Linked DNA regions of Bombyx mori. The protein of the gene in region 2 interacts with the protein of the main gene of each other region in a biochemical or structural test. Links are inferred from orthologs where the notes say so. Each region holds a gene or a part of one and is shown on either strand. Other genes may lie near its edges.

Region 1 (4,557 bases), on a different chromosome or scaffold from region 2:
TTGTCTGAATAGGCTTAGGGTACCAGCGAATAGATAGGAAAAAAAAGAGGTGGCTACGTTATATAGTAAGAAATCAAAGCAGTCATATTGATGAGTTTGACTGAATGACGAACGCATGATGAAGTAGGCCACTTATTGTTTTAAATCCATCACCATAAATAGTTTATAAACTGTAAGGTTAGCGAAAAGTTTAACGAAAAGCGTTAACACCGAGCCAAACAAAATCATATTTATATTCCTCTTGATCCTGGGAAGAAAATGAAACCAGAGTAATGAATACTCATACATTTTTTGTTTATAAAAATTAAGTTATTGAGAAAGATCAATAGAGATCAGTCATCAGTCAAAGCGTGTAAAAAATGATGGGGATTATTAAAGAGAGTTTCTTGGATAACATTTAATTCACATTAATTGAATATTTTCAGTGCATTGTTGAAAAAGTTTAAAACATAAGTAGGCAGAAATTTTATTATTATGATTTACAGTCAAATTTAAGTTTATGATTGTTCACAATGAGTACACAGCTTAAATAATTAATGAAATACATTCAAATCAATTCACTTTATTTTACTCGTTCGACATAATAACACTTTTAAACATGCACTATCATTGATATTATTGTCAATATTTCATAATTGGATTGGATAAATTTACAAATAATTGAGAGATGTTCACCATATATCTGATTGTAACAAACCACTGGGAGGATCAATGTGTCCGGTCTTCAGTATGTTTTGTAAGAGTACTTCCAGTCTTGTTTTCGGCCCTCCTTCATCAATGTTTTGTAAAACTTCCAAATAATCTGTGCTAATTAATTTTATTAACTTAATAAACTGTATCTTATAATGTAAGAGAAATTTAGACCCACACACTGTAAAGAAATCATAAAGAAGAGTGGCAGATATATCAGGTTCTGGTTTCAAGTTGATGAAAGATGCAAGCCACTGCCATCCATATTGTAATCCATGGGGGTTAGGTATGTTTATAAATTTGGGGGTGCTCATTATCCAAATAGCACAGATGAGTCTAAAGATACCTGACATTCTTTTCAAGAATTTATCTTGTTTTTCAACTACACCTTCATCATTATATGTATACCCTCTAGACAAGTAGAATTCCTTATCTGTTTGACCTTCTTTTTGGGGCATAAACATGGGAACTAAATAAGGGCACTGCTTGTGAAAATTGGCTAGCAATAATTTTCCAAAATCTGGGAAAGAAGCCCAAAGTGCTATAACTACAGCTGCTAATGGGAATGCAGCTTCAGGATGACTTGAAACCAATAACTCCCCTTGCCTCACTATTTTCTTGGCTAAGAGTGCTGTACAGTATGCCACTCCATGTGGATGCTGAGTTACAGTAAAATATATGTCTAACACTTGAACACTCTCTCCTTTGAGTAGTTTGTACAGCTTTTCATATTTGTCCTTCATGTGTGTACTACTAACTGAAGACAATGCATTCACTGGAGTGTTCACAGCTTTTTGGCAGTCAAATCTAAACTTTTTCATGTTTACATTCTCTAATAAATCACTGTATTGTGCTTCATAACTTATCATAAAGTTGCTTAACTCTTTAAAATAGTTGTAGTTTTTACTGGAGTAGAACATGGGTTTGACCTTTGTTTTATCAGGACGAACTATTTTAACAGTTTTTGTCACCTCAGGAACCTTTGTTTCTTGCGCTTCCTTTTCAGCCAACTCTCTAGCTTTCTTTTCTTCTATTTCTTTCAATTTCAATAATTCCCTTTCATTATCTTTCAAAATCCTTTCCTTTTCTTTAATTTCATTAATTTCATTTAAAATCTTTTTTAGTACATTTTCTAAGTTCAAAGATAATATTTCTGCTTGTTTTACCTCTTTGTCGGTAACAGATGCATTTTTACAAAGTTCCATGATAGCACTAATATTAGAAATGACTGTTTTGATAGTCGGTATGTATTTGTCACAAACCTGTTGGGACAGAGGCTCCGAAGCTATTACGTTTGTGATTTCATTATAACAGATGCATATTTTAGTATGACTGTCAGTTATTGCCGCAAATCGAGCTGTGGCTTTATTTTGTTCTTCTAAGATTCTATTCATATTGTCAATTGTCTGCCTGTTGATCATTGCACTGTTGTTCTGTTCATCTAATTTGGCTATTTTTAATACATTTAAATTGTCATTTTCATGAAAATCCTTCTGTAGCTGTAGTTTCCGTTTATGGTATTTCATGTCTCTGCGCTCACGTTGTTCGCTATACTTCTGAAAGCATTTGTTCATTATTTCCGCCCTTTTACAAATCATCTGTTCAAAAGATTTTCTGAAAAATTCCACTGATAATTGATGCAACTGTGCTTCACATTCTTTCATTATGAGATTATAACCGAGATCCCCTCGGAGCTTATCTTCAACAAGGTCCTCTGGCAACGGTTCAATTTTGGCGGGGATTTGTTTTTCTTCATAAATTAATTCTTTCTTTGCAGGACTGTTAGGTCCTATGGTCGCTTCTTTTACTAAAGGACTTAATTCAACGGCTTTAGTAAGGGCTGATATTCTTAATTTGCCAAACCCCGCTAAAGTTTCGTCAATACTAGAATCTCTCATTTTCGAAGTAATGCTTCTATTGAGAATTTCTCCAAGTCTATCATTGTAGCTGTCGTAAGATGAATTCTTTGTACTATTCATGTGTATCCCTTAAAAATACTTGTAAATGTACATATTACTACTTATACACCTGCACCTGCATTGTACAACCATTTTACCAGACCATAAACTTCTTGTTCTTTATTTTTTGGCTCCGGCACGGTTTGTGCATAAGCCAGCGTCAAGTAAAAAGATTTTTACAATTCGCCGTTTTAATTATTTACAGTTTATAAATTATGAAAAAGAACGGAAACTAATCAGGACTTAACATAAATGATTAAAAATGAATTAAATTTACAAATGTGATAATGAAATATAATCTCAGTAAAATGGTGGTCATTTACTGAGACTTTTTCAGTGGACTTTCCCAGCTATAATCCAAAGAGAAACTCAGCGAGCTGTATCTATGGGCTAGATTGCACGTTGAACTCTTGTGTTATACATTTTTGGGTTTAGAATAAAAACTAAAAAAGTGGTTGGCATATTATAAAGGGATGTTACGAATGCCTATTATTACCACCTTGGTTGTAGAAGAACCTATACAATATACTTTAAGACGATAATATTTTAAATATTTACGAAAATATTTTTCTTTTCAAAATTAAGTAAAAATATAATAATTTATGTCTGTTTTTTCATAAAAAACGCCAATCAAAACATAATTACGTATAGTCGTACTGAAGTGAATGAAAAACAATGGAATTGAATCTCATCAAAAAAAATTCAATTTAAAATATTTGTCGTATATAGAATAGACAAGGCTGTATGGGCTTAGATCCCTTTCTTTTCCTAATAAGGAAAAATTGCACGAAAAAAATTGTCTCTGGTCGTCTGTTTAGTTCGAAAAGTAAAATCAATTTCGCGGGAAATTTGACAGCGCTTAAGTGTCACTGCAGAAGCTCTGAATTGTTATTGGTCAGCTGTTTGAATCTATTTGTTGATACAAAATAATTTTGAGGAATTTACAAGGAGGTTTTAATATTATTAAATTATCTTGGATAATAATGGTACGTGATTAGTTTAATATTGCGAGGTACTTTTTTAATCATGGTGCTTCAAAATACTGGAAAATACCGACCCGATAAAGATGATTCTGCTAGAAGAGAAGGAACTTCTTCAGGTGGGCTCAAGTAAGTGTAGAAAGAACATTTATAAAGTTAATGCATTTGTGATATTAATTTAACGTTAAACTTAATGTTATAAGGGAAGAGTCATCGGAAACTAGAATTCGTGCCGCTCTGGAGAATGACAGAATTGACTCAAAGTATGGTTTCGATCGAGTGAGAGATTTAAAAGAAAGGACTGGCTACTTGATCAATATGCACACGGTAATTATGATTTGTAAATATTTAAATTCACATCTCCTCAACCATGAGAACGAGTATGCGTAAAGTTTCAATTTTGTAATTACTTTTTGTAATTTCAATATTGTAGAAGACTCCTACATTTAAAACTACAACACTTGTATAGTAAATTTCGTCATATTACCTTTTCACCTTGGTGAGTTGATCTCTCTTAAGAAAACACAAATTTTAGTTTTTGCATTAAAATTCATTTATCAGTGTAATAAGTAGTAATTACTTGAAAGACTTACTTGCTCCGATAAGAAGGGCTTAAAATTTATTATTAAACATTCCAACTAGGCTGAGGTACTCGATGAAGACAAACGATTAGTTGCTGCCATGGATTACTATTTCATAGAGATGGACGGTACCAGATTCAAAATTTCATTAATGTTTCAACCATATTTTCTAATAATGGCCAGAAGAGAATGTGAACAGGAAGTTATACAATACATCTCTAAGAAGTTTGCTAGTTCAGTGCAAAAGATTGAAGTATTGGAGAAGGAAGATTTGGACTTGGTATTTTGTGATAAGTTATTTCTATTAATTGTATCATTCAATTTATATAAGCTATTGTTAATTTGTAA
Region 2 (2,619 bases):
TCCTGACGACGACCACCGCGGGCACCAGGTAAATACTAATCCTTTTGAAGACGATTCATCATAGTCGAATGTTTTTTAACGAATTCTTAATTTTAAAGGAAACGCCGAGCACTCTCGGAACCGCTAGCGTCATACCCACTTACAAAGCTTATTTTACCCCAAGAGAGTGCGGACTGTAATAGCATTATGTACTTTTTAGTAACAACGATTTCAATATCATTTTTAGGATTTTAATTTATTCGATACTAGCGACCCGCCATCGCTTCGCTCCGGAAACTGTAATTTATTATTGATTTCTCCACTATTTAATGAATGTTATTTATTATACATTTAACTTTCCTCTTCAATCACTCTACCTATTAAAAAAAACCGCATCAAAATCCGGTGCGTAGTTTTAAAGATTTAAGCATACATAGGGATACTATGTAATGAAGATGAGAGAATCTTACACCTTTTACCAATAATCTAGATCTCACTATTCAGTAGATTTAATAATGAAACGAATATTGTTACACGATAAATATTTATTTACAAAAATAGAAACATTTTTTTTTCTTCACAAAATCAGTTAAGAATTAAACTAGATCACTTTTCGAAATACATGATTAAATGAGGTATTATATTATATGGAACAATAACCGTGACTATTACATTATACGGTACAAAACATTTTCATTATAATTCAATGTTATTATCACTGCCAACGGAACAAACAATTCTGCCAGTTAATTATGTATAGTCTAAATATTTGTGCACACTAAAATGTTATTAGTTATATCTGAGAACTGTACCAATGAAACGAAATAAAAAAATAAACAAGCAAGATTCCATGTTTTTATTTATGATCAAATTATTCAATATTTATTTTTATCAACAGTCAACAGTTTTTGATTTTATTTACTAACAAATAGAATAATACAGCTAATTAGAAATATTTTATTGAAACCAGTTTTTGGTAAAATGTCAATCACGCAAAGAAATTAAGCTCTCATCACATTTAATAACCTAACATAGTACAAACAGGCGAATTAAGAGGCAATATTAAAAATAAGTGAAAGTTATATGAAAACTATCACTCTGTGTTTTGAATTAGTAACCAATGCTTAAATTCATTTGTAAACTTTATCTCTGTGCTTTACTCAAAGACGCTCAGCTATAGATGGGATACTTAATATTAGATATATTTTAATGAATATTTGCCCAAAGTATACGTACATTGTTTAGTATATAAAAATTAAAAATCCATGTTAATATATTAATATCAGTCTTGAACAAAAAAGGTGACGAAATCAGACTGAACAGAATTTAAAAAAAAATACTAAAATGTTTCAGTGAAAATAATAACTAAAAACTTATCATTAATCCATACGATCTAGGTGCGCCTGTGCGACTGACAACCTTTCTATCAGGTGTTGTGTGTTGGGACGAGCCTGTTAACAATGACATATTAAATACATTTCTGTAATATATTGGCAAATGTGACAATGTAAATGTAAAGGAAACAAAGGAATCATTAGATTAGCAGGCGAGAGTTACATCTTCTGCATGAATCCGTTCACAACAAGCCCGGACAGTTGCAAGGAATCTTTTGTACTCCCCATAATATTCGTTTTAGCAGTAAACACCACGACTTTTCAAATATGCATAAATAAACAAAGCAATGTATTTCGACAATAAACATACCATTACTTATTATATCATTACTAATACCAGGTCACCGTCCTCGTCGAACCCGTCGCTTGCGACGAAGGGCTCGACGAGCGAATTAAACCATAATAGACACAGCCCACTGAATTTCTCGACGGATCTTCTCAGTGGGTCGCGTTTTGGATTCGGTGGTAGATTCTGCGAAGCACTGCTCTTGCTAGTGTCAGTGTTAGCATCACTCCGGTTCGAGCCTCGTGAGCTCACCTACACGTTAGGGTGAAGCTGAAATAGCCTCTCAAAGCTATCAGCATAGGTATGATAAAAAAAAAATACTAACACAATATATTTATCGACAAATTCTTTTTTGATAAATCGAATTAAAATAATGATTTACAAAAGGTTGAAAGGCGTCTTCGTTAGTTCTAAAAGATAAGTCACAAAGTACGGACCTGAAGCGCGGACAGGGCGGCTTCGTGTAGGTCCTTGCAGCGGGCGAGCGCGCGGCGCCGCACGTGCGCTGCGAGCGGCTGCACGTGCGCGCGCGCCGCCTCCAGCAGCCGCGCCGCCGCGCCGCACGCGTGCGTCTCCTCGCCGCAGCCCAGCCACACGCGCTCGTTCACGCTCACCAGCCTGCGACCACGACAACTCTACATCTGTGTGGCTTAGTGCGAGCTTTTTAATGTTCTCGACATAGTATAAGTTAACTCAAAATTTGTATGGAGTTTAAACGTTTGCCTACGTTTGCCGCTAGAGGCGCTGTTCCAACTGTTGTAACTGAGACCTTAGAACTTATATCTCAAGGTGGCGTTTAAGTGGTTAGATGTCTATGGGCTCCAGTAACCACTTGACACCAGGTGGCAGCGAGCTCGTCCACTCATCTAAGCAATAAAAAAAAACTGTATACAAATTTGAGTTAACTTTTACGCTATCGAGAACGTTAAAAAACTCACACCAACCAAACACTGGCTTACT

Evidence for each region.
Region 1: the proteins of nuclear pore complex protein Nup154 (region 2) and mRNA export factor Gle1 form a complex in vitro, tested with the Homo sapiens proteins (2 studies listed by BioGRID). The link is inferred for Bombyx mori from reciprocal best matches to the Homo sapiens genes NUP155 and GLE1.

The regions. Positions count from the first base shown.
Region 1 is NC_085131.1:3,947,452-3,952,008, forward strand, and holds mRNA export factor Gle1, read right to left. Parts: upstream 2,934-4,557; 5' UTR 2,670-2,933; coding exon 672-2,669; 3' UTR 383-671; downstream 1-382. Other genes in the region: DNA polymerase epsilon catalytic subunit 1, read left to right, coding at 3,675-3,757, 3,832-3,955, 4,271-4,489. UniProt on the Homo sapiens protein: Required for the export of mRNAs containing poly(A) tails from the nucleus into the cytoplasm. May be involved in the terminal step of the mRNA transport through the nuclear pore complex (NPC).
Region 2 is NC_085116.1:9,158,217-9,160,835, forward strand, and holds the end of nuclear pore complex protein Nup154, read right to left. Parts: intron 2,278-2,619; coding exon 2,097-2,277; intron 1,431-2,096; coding exon 1,359-1,430; 3' UTR 507-1,358; downstream 1-506. Other genes in the region: neural cell adhesion molecule 2, read left to right, coding at 1-28, 99-179.